2 linked regions of the Arabidopsis thaliana genome follow. The protein of the gene in region 1 interacts with the protein of each later gene in a pairwise test. Each region holds a gene or a part of one and is shown in the gene's direction. Other genes may lie near its edges.

Evidence for each region.
Region 2: the proteins of AT5G43560 (region 1) and HK3 interact in a two-hybrid assay, tested with the Arabidopsis thaliana proteins (one large-scale study listed by BioGRID).

Annotation. Positions count from the first base shown.
Region 1 is NC_003076.8:17,498,342-17,507,334, forward strand, and holds AT5G43560 (TRAF-like superfamily protein), read left to right. Parts: upstream 1-2,034; 5' UTR 2,035-2,212; exon of another isoform or gene 2,213-2,697; 5' UTR 2,698-2,701; coding exon 2,702-2,994; intron 2,995-3,072; coding exon 3,073-3,161; intron 3,162-3,240; coding exon 3,241-3,309; intron 3,310-3,380; coding exon 3,381-3,513; intron 3,514-3,699; coding exon 3,700-3,858; intron 3,859-4,048; coding exon 4,049-4,397; intron 4,398-4,524; coding exon 4,525-4,637; intron 4,638-4,888; coding exon 4,889-5,039; intron 5,040-5,135; coding exon 5,136-5,593; intron 5,594-5,671; coding exon 5,672-5,867; intron 5,868-6,027; coding exon 6,028-7,185; 3' UTR 7,186-7,372; downstream 7,373-8,993. Other genes in the region: AT5G43570 (Serine protease inhibitor, potato inhibitor I-type family protein), read left to right, coding at 8,113-8,161, 8,823-8,993. UniProt on the Arabidopsis thaliana protein: Functions redundantly with TRAF1B in the regulation of plant immune response. Contributes to the turnover of the nucleotide-binding domain and leucine-rich repeat-containing (NB-LRR) immune receptors SNC1 and RPS2.
Region 2 is NC_003070.9:9,484,056-9,493,658, forward strand, and holds HK3 (histidine kinase 3), read left to right. Parts: upstream 1-2,833; 5' UTR 2,834-3,724; coding exon 3,725-4,231; intron 4,232-4,512; coding exon 4,513-4,794; intron 4,795-4,996; coding exon 4,997-5,166; intron 5,167-5,254; coding exon 5,255-5,467; intron 5,468-5,563; coding exon 5,564-5,750; intron 5,751-5,843; coding exon 5,844-5,895; intron 5,896-6,009; coding exon 6,010-6,239; intron 6,240-6,327; coding exon 6,328-6,426; intron 6,427-6,512; coding exon 6,513-7,618; intron 7,619-7,707; coding exon 7,708-7,972; 3' UTR 7,973-8,046; intron 8,047-8,140; 3' UTR 8,141-8,577; downstream 8,578-9,603. Other genes in the region: AT1G27300 (uncharacterized protein), read left to right, coding at 1-139; NTF2A (nuclear transport factor 2A), read right to left, coding at 560-631, 1,439-1,735; AT1G27330 (Ribosome associated membrane protein RAMP4), read left to right, coding at 9,009-9,011, 9,468-9,603. UniProt on the Arabidopsis thaliana protein: Cytokinins (CK) receptor related to bacterial two-component regulators. Functions as a histidine kinase and transmits the stress signal to a downstream MAPK cascade.

The DNA of each region.
Region 1 (8,993 bases):
GTAGTGGTATCTAGATGCTTAAAGTCATCTAAGCACTTTTTTGTTTACTATTTCGATATGGTCAGAGAGAGTATCATCAGAAGAATTGAGGTTGAGATTGATGGAATCGCCGATTATGAGTTTAGACATATCAATGGAATTGGTAAACATGCTCCTAGGATTTTGTGTTTCCCTGGTCACATTGAGAATCTTATGTACTTGTAAGTTCTAAGTTCTACTCTACCATAAGTTCATTAGCTTCTATTTTCATTTTTAGCCGTTTCAAATCGTTTTTTGTAGTTTGGTTACTTGTTCATGGACTCCTTTTAGCCGTTTGTTTTCTCGAACGCCACAACTACGTCTACCATTAGTCATGGACTCATGGTGATCACCTAATGTAAATGAAGCACGAGTTTACCAAATTACAATGACTGTAAATTAATATTTTCATTCAGTTTGAATGGTCAACGCAAATACGGCATTTCTTTAGATGGGCTTATAACGATAATGGGTTACGAACGGCTTATAGCCCATTCAAAGTTCTTATCTTTCAATTTCAAGTAATTTGCTTTCAAGCCCTTCGAATCTACCAAATTCCAATGACTGTAAATTATTTTTTTTTCCCCTCAAAATACATATTTACAAATATTAATTTACTTATGTATACAGACATTAAAAGGCACTAAAATAAGCTAATTATCATGATATAAAAGTAACTCAAGAGGAAAAGTAACTAAGCTTACATGTAATTCATAATTAGGTGACATCAAATTTACTATTTTTTAATTTTCTGCTGAATTTTTTTATTTATTAAATATACTTATTAATATCGAGATGTCTAATAAATATGAGAGAGTGTTTAAAAAAGAGTTTAGACATCGACATGAGACAAACAAAAAATGAAAAATAGTGGTACAAAATACAGATATATAACTTGAAAAAATAAATATAATTTATCAACACAAATACAAGTCCTAATCTGTTATTTATAAATTAATAATCTCAAAATATTACTTTGATATAAAATCAGTGTTCGTGTAATCTATCATTTATGCGATTTTTTAAAGAGATAACAATTTTTTTTTCTTTAGTGAAACATTAATATACCGTTTATTTAGTATGTTAAGTACTTTAATAAAACTCTTTAACAAAACAAAACAAAGTTAAGTATTTTTTAATATATAAGATATTTCTCTGCATGATCCAGGTGGAATTTTTTTAAAAGTTAACAATAGTTTTTTTTTTATAGTAAAACATGAATTTTGTTTGATTATTCCATTAGATAACAACTATTTTTCTTCTTGACAAAAAAGACAAATTTTTTTTAAGTAAAACGTTAATATCTCGTTTGTTTTATTCCGTTAAATAATTGAAATATATAAAATATTTTCCCGCATGATTCACGTGGATTTTTTTAAAAGGTAACATTTTGTTTTCTTAAGTAAACATGAATTTCGTTTGGTTATTCCGTTAGATGCTTTTAATGTATACATAATAATTATCCGCTTGATTTATGTAATTTTTTTTAAATGTAACAATTGTTTTCTCTTAAGTAAAATATGTATATCTCGTAGATTTATTCCGTTAGATAATTTTGATATATAAAATATTTTCCGCAAAATTTACATAGAATATTAAGAAAAGATCACAAAAAACAGAAATTTTGTTTGTTTATTCCGTTATATACTTAATATGTAAAATATTTTCCTCTTGATATACATATTTCAAAACGCTAATATCTCGTTTGGTTATTCTGTTAAATACTTTAATATATAAAATAATTTTTCTCGGATATATTTTTAAATATACATAAAATTTCTCTTTTAAGTTTTAAGTAAAAAAATAATAAATCTTTCGTTTGCCTTTTTATGAAAATATAGATTAAACTAATTGATGACAAGAAAAGACATTAGTTTTCTTATTACCATATTGATGATTTCATCTCTTTCTCTTGTAATACAAAATGGATAAAAAAAGAACAGAGCAGAAATGAAAACATGAACGTTATATATAAATATGTCATGAATGAAAAAATAACTATTAAAACAAATTAAATTTAAGGTTAAAATTTGTTCTCTCTGTTTCGCTGTGTTTTTTCTTCTTTCTTACAATCTCTCCATTTCTCTCTCTTCCGTCTCTTTTTTTATCTCTCTCTCTAGAATCTTGAAGAGAGCGAGCTTCCATTAAAATCTCATTCTAACGATCTCCAAGCTCTTTCTTCAATCATCTCCAGGTTTGCTTCGATCTACACGGCGTCGTTTACACGTCTCCTTCAAATCTTTCTTCCTTACTTCTCCGATTTCAATTTCGTGCCGTTTTTTTTTTGAGTTTTCCGATCGCTGATTTCTTCAAATATTTATCGAATTTTTTTTCAATGTTTTCTGTTTGTAAATTCTCTGTAATTCAATTAATTGAATCGAATAATTTTGTCTCTCTTGCATTTCCTCAGCTCCAGCTTTTGTTTTTATTAGTTTCTAAGATTGCTTTTTGTTTTTAGGGTTTATTCTCAATTCTTATATAGTTTTTGAGGTTTTTGGTGTATTGATTTGATTCATGTGAGTGAGTGATTGATTTAGAATCTTTGTTGAGCTGTGACTGTGATTTAGATTTGATTCACTTCAGCTATAATTCTTTGTTTTGATGATGATTATGATAAATTCGTAATTTTGAGCTTATTTGAATTCATTAACTAATTTAGTATGATGAAATCTTAATCAGGGGAATGTCAGAGAGTACTAATGAAGATAGTGGAGCAGGAAGATCATCACTGGAAGAGAATTCAAATGGACAAAGAAGTCAATCAGAAGAAGCAATCGCTGAGTGGCGTTCTTCTGAACAAGTTGAGAATGGAACTCCTTCTACATCTCCACCGTATTGGGACATCGATGATGATGACGATTTTGGATCAAAACCATCTCAACTATTTGGGAAAAATACTTGGACGATTGAGAAATTTTCAGATATCAACAAACGAGAGCTCCGCGGCGATGTTTTTGAAGTCGGGGGTTACAAATGGTAAGAATGATCACTAAACCTTGTTGAGTACTTTTCCTTAACAAAATGTTTGATATTCCTCTTGTGGTGGTGGTGTAGGTATATATTAATTTATCCACAAGGGTGTGATGTTTGCAACCATCTCTCTTTGTTTCTATGTGTTGCACACCATGAAAAGCTTCTTCCAGGTGAGTATATTGTGTTGTCTATTTAGCTACACACTCTTGAAACCGGGAACCTTATCGTTTAGGTTTATCTTTGAGACAGGCTGGAGTCATTTTGCTCAGTTTACTATAGCTGTGTCGAATAAAGATCCGAAGAAGTCAAAGCATTCAGGTTACATTTTGCATCTTTTGATTTCTTTATATCGTATTTACGCAGTCGAACTGAACAGGGTTTTCTTACAGATACGTTACACCGGTTTTGGAAGAAAGAGCATGATTGGGGTTGGAAGAAATTTATTGAGTTACCTAAATTGAAGGAAGGGTTTATAGATGATTCTGGTTGTCTTACAATTAAAGCTCAAGTGCAGGTGATCAGGTAAATGCAAGATTGAGTTTTAGCTAAAGTCATCATGTGTCAGACATCCTCCCATTAACATACATCTACACGTGTTTAAAAACGTTCCTGACCAAATATGCACATTGCAACAAAACTTATGCTCGCTTCAATTTATTTGATTTTATTTGTCGCATTGTGGATAATTCTGTAAATTGATTCTTGCAGAGAGAGAGTGGACCGACCTTTTCGCTGCCTTCATTATAAATATAGGGAGGAACTTGTTAGGGTGTATTTGGGAAATGTAGAGCAAATTTGCTGGCGGTTTGTGGAAGAGAAAAGAAGCAAGCTTGGTAGGTTGATAGAGGACAAGGCAAAATGGAAAAGGTATTCCACATTTTTACACTCAACTCCTCCAAATTCCAGAAATGAAATCAAAAATAGCTGTAGAGACTGGGTTGATTCCAATCTAGTGTAGTACTGCACTTTTTTTTTTTTTTTTTTACTTCTTGCTAATCTTCCTTCAAAGTTTGAGGTGTTTGCATGATAAGGAAGTGATTGTTATTTCTTGGTGCAGCTTCTGTGCTTTCTGGATGGGGTTGGACCAAAATTCAAGGCGTCGAATGTCCCGAGAGAAAATGGATGTGATTCTAAAAATAGTTGTAAAACACTTCTTTGTCGAGAAGGAAGTTACATCTACTTTGGTGATGGATTCCTTGTATAGTGGATTGAAGGCTCTTGAAGGCCAAAATAAGAACAAGGAGAGTAGGCCGAGACTAATGGATACTGAAGAATCCACAGCTCCAATTGTTAGCGTGGACAAAGATTCGTTTGCATTAGTTGATGATGTGTTATTACTCTTAGAGAAGGCTGCTCTGGAGCCATTGCCTAAAAAAGAGGAAAAGAGTTCTCAAAACCGTACGAAGGTTAGTTTCTTTGTTATTGTATTTTATTGATTGAAGTTCATGATTTACTCTCCTGTGTGGTGGTGCTTTTTGACTTTTTGTTATACATGTAAAAATGCTTGAAACATGAGCACTTGTCCTTATCTAGGATGGGAATGCTGGAGAGGAATTCAGTAGAGAAGCCGTTGAGCGTGATGATAGGCGTTTAACTGAATTGGGTAGACGGACTGTGGAGATATTTGTTCTTGCACATATCTTCAGGTAATAAGGCATAATTTTTCCTCTTTGTTTTTTTATTTGGTGCACCAGGCATAATTTTGCCTTTGCTTTAAAATTTCCATACAAGTGAATCATAAGCACATAATTTGTTTACAAGCTAAGACATGCGTGACGATCTTATTCTGAAACCGCTGATAGTGTTTATTTTGTATTTCTGGTCTTCTGGTATTGTGTGTCTTTGTGTTCTTAGCTGTACCTCATGTATAGCACTGCAATCTTTCTGAGAAATGCAGCAACAAAATTGAAGTTGCATACCAAGAAGCTATTGCATGGAAAAGGCAAGAAGAACTTATTCGTGAAGAAGAGGAAGCGTGGCTGGCAGAAAGCGAACAGAAGGGCAAAAGAGGAGCATCTGAAAAAGAGAAGAAATCTAAGAAGAAACAGGTCCGTCCTTACACTTCTGTTACTTCCAAAATAGATAATGCCATTAACGACTAGTTGGGGTGCTAATGGAGATTCTTATTGTTTTGGAACTCATAGGCGAAACAGAAAAAGAACAAAAACAAAGGAAAGGAAATGAGGAAAGAAGACAAGGTGAGAACCCAAACAGAAGAAAGGGAAATTGAGAAAGAGGAATGTGTGAGAGCGATAGCAGAATCGTCAGCTGAAAAACCTGACACACTTGGAGATGTCTCTGACGTGTCTGATTCAGTAGATAGTTCAGCTGAAATACTTCAGCTTGATTCAGAAGATAGAGAGAGTAGTCCTGTTCATTGGGAAATGGATGCCTCAGAGGTTCATCCTCCTTCTGCAGGAGACACTAGCAGAGGAAGAGGCAATTCTTTTTCTATACCTAATGGAGTTGCAGAAAGAAAGGGTCTGTCCACAATGGATGATAGTTCTTCAACCTGTTCTAATGACTCGATTCAATCAGGGGTAGCCAATGGGTCATACAAAGGGAATGTATTAAATTGCCAAAGCCAAAAGTGGTTTAGCAAGTAAGTAAACTTTTTTTGAACTTTCCTTTAAGTTATTTGTTTGTTCCACATCCGGATAACATACCTTGTGATGTGCAGTGGAAAAATACAACCAGGAAAAGTATCTGATTCCAACAGTTTAGCCAGTGAAAAAGAGCATCAACCTTCAAGACTTGCATCTGACCCTAAAAATCAGAGCCATTCTTCTGATATACGCAGAGTTGGTGAAGCTGACATAGTTATCTCCCACATTCAAAAACCAGAGAGCCCTAAGGAACGTAGTCCTGTTAGCAAGGTGGTTTACTCTTTCCTTTTGAAGTTGCAATGTTGGAACTTGGAAGTTATATATATAAAAGAGGGAAGCTAAATTCCAAAGAATTCGTGTTGGTTTACCTTTCAATCCATTTTAGAGTGATATGCTTATCAACATTGAATGACTATATCTTATTTTGCAGGATCCCAACATGATTCAGATGAAAGAGAAAAGTGCTGCGGTACTTTCCCCATCCAGAGCTGCTCCTTGGAATCCTCCGTCTCCAGTGCAAGCAAAACCGGAGAAAAAGGGTGTTTCAAATGTAGAGGCGGTTCCAAACAGGAAAGTCATATCTGTTAAATCACCTTCATCACATCATGCATCACCATCTCGTGAAGCTCAGTTGCAAACAGTGGGTCCTAGAGCTGATATACAGAAAATCGCTTCTCCGAAACCTGTGGAACAACCAGCACCTCCTATGTCAAGGCCTTTGAGTGCTCCTATAATCCCTCCAACGCAAGCTGCACCTGTAATATCTGCTGTTCAAACCTCGACTGCGTCCCTTGCTCGTTCAATGAGCTCAACAGGGCGTTTAGGTTCACCGACACATAGCCAAGCTTACAATCCTCAATCCTACAAACATGCCATAGTGGGTTCATCTGGTTTCACCCACCCAAGCTCTCAATCGAGTGGAACAAGCACATTGCCGCCTTATTCACATCCGTCTCCTATCTCAGTATCAAATCAGTCTGGTTTCCCTATCAATGTTGGCTCTTGGGATGTTTCTTCTGGTGGGCTATTGTGGACCGGTGGTTCGAGTTCAACCAGAGATACAACAACAACCATCAGCGGGAATCACAAAACAAACACTTACAACGCACCCGTAGTAACTACCAGCATCAGGCCTACTAATGTTCAGATAGGGAGAACGGCACAGAGTCTGATGACCGATGAGTTCCCTCACCTTGATATCATCAATGATCTGCTTGCAGACGAACACGGTACAATGGATAATAGCGTATACCGTGTACCACAACAGTTCAACAACCAGTACTCATATCATGGCGGTGCGGATCTCGGGATCTCTAGCAGGTCTAGGAGTTACAGTGATGATGGATTTCACCAGTCTTACGGTGAATACATGCCACATTCTGCTTCTTCCTCGCCATATGGTAATGGGCAAACACAATCGCAATGGCAGATGGCAAATATGGATTTCTCTTTACCGGCTATGAGGAACCAAGACGATGTATCAGCATCAGCAACAGCTACTTACTCTTACTTTGATTTAGATTCATCAAACCCGAATTTGTCTGGAATCAACGGCTATAGGGACTTCAGGCCATCGAACGGACACTGAGGTTTGGGTTTAAAGAGTGGCATTGCATTGTAATGTTTATTATATAAAGATGGAAAGCAAAAAACATTTGTGTAAAGAGAGTTTTCGTCCTCTTCGTTTCAAATGAATCCTTTTTTCTCTATAGGTTTTATTTTCTTTAATAATATAACAATTTTTAAGTTAATTGATCCTCAAATTAAAGTTTCAGAGTCAGCTTATCTTCATTTGGAGTATTTAAATGTGCGAATGCAAATGCGGTTGTGGATAGAACTATGACGAACAAAGTCAACTTGAACTATTCATATATGAATGGTTGTCTTTTTTTCTTTCCACAAAAATATTCAATACAAAAAAAGGCAGAAGATATATATGACCTGCATGACATCGAAACACTTTTTTTAGATGAAAGACTTCACCACGGAAAAATATTATGATTTGTATATAAAATGTATAACTAAAAGATAGATTGTGTGGAAGAAAACTTAGGGCAATAATTTCTTACGTAAAATGGCCACCAATTTCAGAAATATACGCTAGATTAATTCACGAGAGCCTACGGTCTACATACCGTAATCAAACCACCCACGACTTGCCCGATTAAACATTATCATTTTTTTCCTGAAAAGTTATTAATATTATAGTTATATTGTTCACACATTTTCATGTGTCACATGTCCTTTATCTATCTCGGATGTGTATCTACTATCTAAAGTAGGTGAAAATGTTGACAATATATAATTGAAAATTTTGAAAACAATATCACGTTGGGTCAAAAGCGTACGAATCTCTCTTTCTTTCTCCACGTTTTCATGTATACATATCTTACAGAAAGTGGATAGCCACCACGTCCACATGAATTCTCTATAAATAGCCATTTGGTTTTTTACAATCTTCATAAATCATAACCTCCCAAAGAAGGAAGAGAGAGAAAAAAAGAGAGGAAGAGAAATGTCGGACGTTTGCCAAAGTATTATAGATATACACCATCATTTAACATGTATATATAGTTTATATTCGAATAGAATTTCAATTTTATAAAGAAGTAATATACGTTTTCTATTTGACAAAGTGTAATATATTTTTTTAATAGGTATATTTTGGAATTCCTAAATTTCTATTACTTTCTTAACACATCAATATATATATATATATATATATATATATATATATATATATATTGTTGTTGAGACGATTCTGATACCTATTTATTTATATGTTTTAACTAAAAATAATGTATTTATTTATACGTGGGTATGCAGCATGATGAGCTTATATTTATATGTTTTACCGAAATAAAGAAGTATTTAGCTATAGGTTTAACAAAAATAATATTCATAGATATTCACTTTGGAATTTCTACATTTTGGAATTCCTAAAATTTGTCTTTATACATAGATATTCATGATCATGCATGATATTTGATAATCATAAATACATTTTGGTATTCCTAAATATCCATTAAAATTTTGTAACACATTAAAAGTATATATGTAATATAAGGTTGCCCAAAATTAAATTTACAAATAGTTTGATATGTATTTATTTCTACGTATATATATGCATGCATGCAATGAATCATGATAGTTGATAATCAATCATAGTCATAGAGCGCGCGATCATAGAAAAGAATATCATAATTTAGTAATTTATATGTACAGATACTGCAGGAGAAGGGATGAAGAGCTCATGGCCTGAATTGGTGGGGAGAAGAGGAGAAGAAGTCAAAGAGATCATCGATAGAGAGAACACGAAAGTGACGGCCAAGATTATATCTGAAAATGCAGTTGTTTTGGCTGTTGTAATTTGTGATAGGGTTTATGTTCGTGTCA
Region 2 (9,603 bases), on another chromosome or scaffold:
GTTACGTCCAATCAAGAACCAACTTGCGGGGACTTCCAACTCCAATGACCAAAACAACCATGGGAATGGATCACACACTGGACCTCAACTTCAAGTGCCCGAGCTGTTGCGAGAATTCGGTTTCGACGATGAAGAATGATAGCTTCCCTTTGTGACTCAATAATACCAGTTGTTATTTAGGAACAGGGGTCACCCTCATTGTTTCTTTGCTTTTAGTATAAGTAGTTTACTTTTATATGATCAAAATGCGAAAGAATAGTTGCTTTCTCAAACTTTTCCACATGAAAAAGGGTTCCAAAAGAGAACCGTATTTCAAAAAATCTTTTGTTTTACCCTTACTGAATCATGGTTCAGTGCCCGAAAACAAAAGGAGTCATCTCAAACAAAGTAACAAATAGCTCCATTGATTAAAATAAAAACAGACAGCAAACCACCTGAAACAAAGCTTAATGTTCCAAATCTAAAACCAACTCAAACAGTTTTTGAATAGTCCCAAACTTTCCACCACTCTCTTTTCAGCTTCCAATAATGGTTCCATGTACCTCTGGCATCAAATTCCTCAGGCATAGTTCAACCTGAATATGTCATTGAACACGTAGTAGTTTCCCTGATTCGATATCAAATGGAACATCTGGACACAAAACACAAGTATGTCAGGAATCAGGCAAAATCCAAACAACAAGCAGTCATCAGATTTATGTTACAATCATATAGTGATCCAGTGCGTGATTCACAACACAAGAGATGCATACGTAGCTCATTACAAGTAGGTCAAGTTGACAGAAATTCATCCCACTTTGCTCTATACATACATTCCACAAGTTTGATGTTCATACAAATATGATAACAAAACACAATTAGTACCTTGATATGAAGAACTAAAATGACAAAAACATCTCTTATCGAACAAATCTAGTAAAGAGCGTTCAACACTAAAAAGAGAAAACAATGTCTTACGGCAGATGATACAAACACTGCAAGCATCTCAAACTATTTAGAGTTGAGACAATTTAATCAAGAAGGTGGCATATCTACAACTACAACAAGATCACATATGAGCATAGTTGAAAAAAACTAGCAGAATCATGGCAAAGCAGTTTCCCAATACTACATTCACGAAGTGCAAGGAGATAGAAGCTCCACAAGACAAAATCTAAATGACACAAGATTACATCTACTGATCTACGCAATCATTTGGGGGAAACCTCTTTTATCTCCAACCTTATCACAGATCTATCACTAAATGCATCAGGGAGGGTCTAAAATTTCGAGACAATTCCAGATCATTGAAGCTTTTAGTGACCTAATACACACATCAATCTACAGAGCAGTAAGGATAAAAACCCTATCGTACATGATCAACAGCGAGGAATACAAAGGAAACACTAAAAATCGAAGTGATCTAAACCCAAGGGAAAGAGATAAGGCAAAAAAAAACCTGGCTGAACTTGAGAGCGTGTTGTTCACCAGCGAGCTGAAGATTGCCGGAGACAAAGACGAGCATACCACCGGCGGGACCAGAAGGCTGACAATCGACGGTGGTGATGTTGTGCTTACACTGCTGGAAAGGGAGGCCGGTGAGCTTAGCGACGATGTTCTGAGAGCCCTGGATCTTCTGGCCTTCGAAGGTCAACATGGATCCTTCTTGGTATAGAGAAACCAACCCTGGACGATTTGCATCGAAGGTGGAGTAGTAGTGCTCAACGAAAGCCTTTGCAACAGCGTCTGGATCCATCTCTTTCTTCGTCTTCCTTTTTGATCCTTAGCTCTTGCGTCGTGCTTTTTCAACAGGCGAGAGAGGATCGAGAGGGTTAGATAATTTACTGAAAAATTATACGAATGGACCAAGACTAGAGATACTGAAATGAGTGTTTGACGATACTTTAAATGGGCCTTATATTTTTCAAGTTGGGCCCGTTAATATATGGGACAATCAACAGTATAGCTCAATTGGTAAATTGACTAACTTCATTTGATTCCTACACCATTTAAAGATTTTTAATCAAATTCTGATATAACTAAGATAATATTTTAAAGCATTTAACTAACATGGAAAATTATGAAATGAAATATTAATTTTGGATAGAAAATTTAAAACATTTATCTTTGTGAAATAAAAAGAAAGTCTCTTATAATATAACTTGTAAAGTAATCCTTTAAATTCTAAAAGATCTAAAACAAAATGAGTTAAATCCTATGTCTATGTGTTGAATCTGGAAGATCGAGGTGGAAGAAAAAGGATCATGATTCATGGGTGAGAGAACAACCGTTGATTGGTGTGTTTCAACTTTCAAGCAATCCCATTTTAAAAAAATAAATTTATGTAAGCAATTGCAAACAAAATGAAATGATTATGCTTTAAGATATCGACACGTGTAAAACAGATGACGTACCAAGAAAATAAATGATTCTGTATTTTGTTTTAGCCATTTGTTTTTTCTTTAAAGGAAAGTGTATGTTGAAATTGAAAAAACAAACCGAGTTATATATATAGAGTTATTTGACTAAAGAAGGAAGCTTTGGTTAAACTAACTTGTATAATTCTTTTGTGTAGTTTAGTTTTGATAAAATGGCCAAACAATTTTGGTCACTTTACCAACTACTGCAAAAAAACCATTTTCATAATAATAAATTGTAACACGCCTTTTATTTTTATTATTGGAGGGTGAGAACTGAGACCATATATGCCTTTGTTCCCTTCTTGTGGGTCCCTTTAGCCTTTTTTTTTCTTTTGCCTGCGCCGTTTAGTGTTTTTTCTTTTATATATAAATAGAGGTAAGTTATTTTACCAATCATTTGGTGTTATTAATAGTAGTATTAATGAGGTTCTAAACTTGTTTATAAAAATCAGATCTTACTAAACAAACTCAAAGAATCTCAACTATGAACATTTTTCTTCTAGAATCGAGTTTTAACATCATCATCAGCAGGATATAATTTTTTGTGTTTGAATTTTATCTGTATTTTTTTTAGGAGTACATAAGCAGCTTAAGATTAAAATATATATTAATGGAAGTATGAATGAAAAAAGAAAAGAAAGATAATCAGATAATAGAGAGAGAGAGAGAGAGAAGGAAGCAGACATTTGTCTTCCACCATATTCTTCTCATCTTTTCCGATGATAGATTCTTCTTCTTCTTCTTCTTCTACTACTACTTCTGCTCCTCTTTCTTAAGTTTCTCCATTTGATAATTCACTCAAGTCTCCAGCTCCTCTTCTTCTTCTCGTTGCTTTATTCGCTCTCTTTCACTCATCATCATCACACTCAAAGATTTCTGTTGTATTGGAGCAAGCTCTAGCGAATTTTCGTACTCCCCTTGTAGAATTTTAGTTTCCTGTTTTAGATTTCGAGGAATCTCGCTTTGGAAACTTTAAGCTCCTGTTCAAAGTTTCTACCTTTGTTTATTTTGTTTTTGTTTTCTTCTCTCTTATCTTTCGTCATCTTTGATTAAGTAACCACTTTGATCTCTCAATTTCAGCCTTTGGGTTGTCTAATCTGACACGTTCCTCTGTCTTAGCTTTCCTTTTCTCTTCTCGTTTGTGGGAAGCCTACAAGGATTAATTATTAAATACCCAACCCCAAAAAATTCTTCCTTTTTGATTCTCTGATTCGTCCCTTTTTGTACATGGTTTCTGTTTGGTTGTTAGAGCTTCTTGCTGAGTTGAATTGAGCTGGTTGCAATCACTCTGTTTCTTGGGGGTTGATCGTGTATTCAAGTGGTGGATGAGTCTGTTCCATGTGCTAGGGTTTGGTGTCAAGATTGGGCATCTCTTCTGGATGCTATGCTGCTGGTTTGTTTCTTGGTTCGTTGATAATGGGATCGAGGACAAGTCTGGTCTTTTAGTTGGCTCTGTCGGTGATCTTGAGAAGACTAAGATGACTACGTTGAAGAAGAAGAACAAGATGTGGTTCTGGAATAAGATCTCTAGCAGCGGACTCAAGATCCCGAGTTTCTCTTATCAGTTTCTTGGCTCTGTTAAATTCAACAAGGCGTGGTGGAGGAAGCTTGTGGTGGTTTGGGTTGTCTTCTGGGTCTTGGTCTCTATTTGGACGTTTTGGTACTTTAGCTCGCAAGCTATGGAGAAGAGGAAAGAGACGCTAGCTAGTATGTGTGATGAGAGAGCTCGTATGCTGCAGGATCAGTTCAACGTTAGCATGAATCATGTTCAAGCCATGTCTATCTTGATCTCAACCTTCCACCATGGCAAGATTCCTTCTGCTATCGATCAGGTATTCTCGATTCCGCATCTTCTTGTCTTCTAATCTGTTTGGATTGATGCCTGAGATCTAGTCTTGCTTGTAGTACATAAGTTGTTCCTACGGTGTAGTATATGAACGGTCCTTGGATGATGGTAGCTTTTTTCATTCAACTTGCTCTCGAATTTCAGTTAGGATTTACAATTTTGCTGATTGTTGCTTACAGTCTTTGTATTTAGCTAACACTTGGTAGCTTGATTCCTATCTTCTTGAGTATTAGTGAACAGTAACTAACATTAAGAAGCTTTGTGTAGAGAACATTCTCAGAGTACACTGATAGAACTTCCTTTGAGAGGCCTCTTACTAGCGGGGTAGCTTATGCTATGAGGGTGCTCCATTCAGAGAGGGAAGAGTTCGAGAGGCAACAAGGTTGGACTATTAGGAAGATGTATTCTCTTGAACAAAACCCAGTTCACAAGGATGACTATGACCTGGAAGCTTTGGAACCATCCCCTGTCCAAGAAGAGTACGCTCCAGTCATCTTTGCTCAGGACACTGTTTCTCACGTTGTTTCTCTCGATATGCTGTCTGGGAAAGTAAGCTTCTTTACTGGTTCTAATTTTACTGTTTTTATGTAATTTACTATCATGGTCTACACTCACTACCGGGCGAATCCTGCCGACATGGCTAGTTCATATTTCAATCTCGGCTTACCGATTAAGTTGTTTTGATCATTTTATTTAAAGTTTAGAGCACTGTTTTAACTGATACTTATTCTCACTCAATTCCTCTTGATAGGAAGATCGTGAAAACGTTTTGCGGGCCAGGAGTTCAGGTAAAGGGGTTTTGACAGCTCCTTTCCCATTGATAAAGACAAATAGACTTGGGGTGATCCTGACATTTGCAGTGTACAAGAGAGATCTCCCCTCCAATGCAACGCCAAAAGAGAGAATTGAGGCTACTAACGGGTGTGTAGCATAGGCGTCTAAATAAATAATAACGCATAAGTTTTACAACATTATTTTTGCTCATTCATCTCTTTTGATGCCCCTGAAGGTATCTCGGGGGAGTGTTTGACATTGAGTCCCTGGTAGAAAACTTGCTTCAACAGCTGGCTAGCAAGCAAACGATTCTTGTCAATGTGTACGATATCACCAATCACTCTCAACCGATTAGCATGTATGGTACAAATGTGTCGGCTGATGGGTTGGAACGTGTTAGTCCACTAATCTTTGGCGATCCATTGAGAAAGCATGAGATGCGTTGCAGGTACTTGCAGTTGGCACATACATATGTCTGTAATTTCTTCTTGTTTGCAAGAATCCAGGTGCTAACATTTTGTTGTGAGCTTCTTCCTCTTTGTAGATTTAAGCAGAAACCACCATGGCCAGTGCTATCAATGGTGACATCATTCGGTATCCTTGTGATTGCGTTACTTGTTGCACATATAATCCACGCAACCGTTAGTCGAATACACAAAGTTGAAGAAGATTGTGATAAAATGAAGCAGCTCAAGAAAAAGGCTGAAGCAGCAGATGTTGCAAAGTCACAGGTAAATACATCATCCTCAGTTGATAAATTTCCACAGCATATTAAACTTTCTATGACAGAGAGAAGAGTTGTAATCTAACTTTTTTTTATGCAGTTCCTTGCCACTGTTTCACATGAAATCAGAACTCCAATGAATGGTGTTCTAGGTGAGTATCGAAATGGCCACTATGTTGCCTCCTTCTCTCACCTATGCCCATGAATATTTTCTGAAGAACAAACTTAACCAAATATTCTCATGTTGACTTTGATCTGGGGTGTAGGAATGTTGCATATGCTTATGGACACAGAGTTAGATGTTACGCAACAGGATTATGTTAGGACCGCACAGGCAAGTGGAAAAGCTTTAGTCTCGCTAATAAATGAGGTTTTGGACCAAGCAAAGATTGAATCTGGAAAGCTTGAACTTGAGGAGGTGCGGTTTGATTTGAGAGGAATATTAGATGATGTCCTGTCACTCTTCTCTAGCAAGTCCCAACAAAAGGGGGTGGAGGTAACTTACTATATGATCTGCAAAGCAAGGGTTGTAACTGATAGCAAGTCTTTCTTACTGATTTTTTGAGTGTTGCTGATGAACGCAGTTGGCAGTATACATATCTGATCGTGTTCCAGATATGTTAATTGGTGATCCTGGGAGGTTTCGACAAATACTCACAAATCTTATGGGTAATTCCATTAAGGTAAACTTTTTTATTATGTTTTTTTCTGACCATTCCTTGCATCCGAGTTGATCAACGGAGCTGATCATTTATATATATTCTGGCAGTTCACTGAGAAAGGACACATCTTTGTAACTGTTCATTTGGTGGATGAGCTATTTGAATCTATCGATGGAGAGACAGCATCATCTCCGGAAAGTACACTGAGTGGGCTTCCAGTTGCAGACCGGCAGAGGAGCTGGGAAAACTTTAAAGCTTTCAGCTCCAACGGGCATCGGAGCTTTGAACCATCTCCCCCTGATATAAACCTAATCGTCTCAGTTGAGGATACTGGCGTAGGGATCCCTGTAGAAGCGCAGTCCCGTATTTTTACGCCTTTCATGCAAGTCGGACCATCCATATCCAGGACGCATGGAGGCACAGGAATTGGACTTAGCATAAGCAAATGTCTAGTTGGACTGATGAAGGGAGAAATTGGATTCTCGAGTACTCCCAAGGTTGGGTCCACATTCACATTTACTGCTGTATTTTCCAATGGGATGCAACCAGCTGAAAGAAAGAATGACAACAACCAGCCCATATTCTCGGAATTCCGGGGCATGAAAGCTGTGGTTGTGGACCATAGGCCTGCAAGGGCAAAAGTCTCGTGGTACCATTTTCAGCGTCTTGGAATTCGAGTCGAAGTAGTTCCACGTGTTGAACAGGCTCTACATTATCTGAAGATTGGTACTACCACTGTGAATATGATACTCATAGAGCAAGAAATATGGAATAGGGAAGCAGATGATTTCATTAAAAAGCTACAGAAAGACCCTCTTTTCCTTTCTCCTAAGTTGATTTTGTTAGCAAACTCAGTAGAATCGTCAATATCAGAGGCTTTATGCACCGGTATAGATCCTCCAATAGTGATAGTGAAACCATTGAGGGCGAGTATGCTAGCAGCAACTTTGCAGAGGGGATTGGGTATTGGAATCAGAGAACCACCTCAACACAAGGGACCTCCTGCTTTGATTCTCAGGAATCTTCTCCTTGGTAGAAAAATTTTAATCGTGGATGATAACAACGTAAACCTCAGAGTGGCAGCGGGAGCTCTGAAAAAGTACGGAGCTGATGTGGTCTGCGCTGAGAGTGGGATAAAGGCAATCTCATTGCTTAAGCCACCTCACGAGTTTGATGCTTGCTTCATGGACATTCAGATGCCAGAAATGGATGGGTATGCCTGATTGGTATACTAGTTTTTTTGAAAAGTTCGAAATATGTAATAAGAAAATTGAAATGTTTTTCTGCCCTGTCTTTCTGCAGATTTGAAGCTACAAGGAGAATACGAGATATGGAAGAGGAGATGAACAAGAGAATAAAGAATGGGGAGGCTTTGATAGTAGAGAACGGTAACAAAACAAGCTGGCATCTTCCGGTATTAGCAATGACGGCAGATGTGATCCAAGCAACGCATGAGGAATGTCTGAAGTGTGGAATGGATGGGTATGTATCAAAACCATTTGAAGCAGAGCAGCTGTACAGGGAAGTTTCTCGCTTTTTCAATTCGCCTTCAGATACAGAATCATAAGAGGAGATGGGGCTGGAAGAAGAACAGCGAAGGAAACACAAAAACTCGTGTCTCCTATGCATCTTGAAGTAGTAGTAAGCCGCCTATATTCCTCCTCTCTATATATTTACTCACCTAAAAACATGTCTTCTCAACTGACAGTAACGCCTTATGTGAACTTGTTTATAGGAAAAACAGATTGACGATTGCAAAAAGAGTGTATATAGAAAGGCCGGTGTGACCAGGCCAAGAACTTAGGACCAGTACTTTCTCCTGTAAATTTTTTTTCTACATTTTTCTCTGGTCTGATTGAGACAACAAAACTTGTGGTATGTAGATGAGAGTAGCAGCTGGAATATATTCAGAGTTGCTTTGGACAGGGAAGAGAGCATCATAGTATGTGTGTAAAAGTGTGTGTGCATGATTTAGGATATTTCTTCTTGTATTAGAGAACAGTGCTGCAGTTTCTTTGTTATCATCATGGTCCAAGATAGGGAAGTGGACATTACTACTTATACATACACTGGCTTTGTGATATAAAGTTGAAGATAGCTTTTACTTTCTCTTCCCCTTCTTTACGTACAATGCATATTGGAACCAAAACCAAATGATCGGACCGAATCAAGAAACAGAACCGAATGTCTTCAAATAGTTGTGTTTTGTGTCCAACTAAATTCACGTAGAAGAACTATAGAAACGTGGACCCCAAAACGTGAGTGTGGTTGTTTGACTTTTAAACACGTCCGTGAGATTTTCAGATTGACCTTTAGGTCACATTTTTGTCCACCACATCAACATGAGAGGGCTTTTCTCAAGCATTTCAATAATCGGAATCCAATCACTGACCGCCACGTGGACATCATACGTCTCAATAACCAATCATAGAATGGTTGTGACGACGTTCACGGTGAGTTGCAGTACCCGATCCCTTTTAAGGTCCGTGACAGAATAATTTTGAAACCAGCAAGACAAATTTAGTCAAACCAAAAAAAAAAAAAAAACGAAAGCGCAAAGACTAAGGAGAAAAGAAATTCTTCGCTTCTTCTCCGGTGTAATCATGGTATAGCCCGCGATCTCGATTGTTTCTTATTATCGGTATTCATGTTATATTAGCTAGAATTGTGTTTTGTACCTCCGATCTGATTCACAGATTCAGTATGTGAAATTCATTATTTTGAGGATTTGATCGTCTTATCAATGATTTAATCTATGTTTGAATATTGTTGAATCACGGGCAATTTCGCATCACGCCAAAAGAATTGTATCTAACAGATGCGAAAAAGTTTGAATCTGTTTTCGAAATGTAGTTATTCAAATTAGCTGAGTTTTTGTCTTGATAGTATGTATTGTTTCTTGATTTAAAATGCATGGCCAAATCTTACCCTGGCTTTGCCCAGATTAAATACTTTGGTGAGTGTAAACGAAAGAGATTCTGATTTTAGTAATATGGTTGATCTGGAGAGAACCATTACCAATGTGTATTACTGAATAGGGTTGATTTTAAAAATTGTTGCAGACAACCTCAAAAAGACTAGCAGACAGGAAGATTGAGAAATTCGACAAGAACATATTGAAAAGAGGATTTGTTCCTGAGACCACCACCAAGAAGGGTAAGGATTACCCTGTTGGTCCCATCCTCCTCGGCTTCTTTG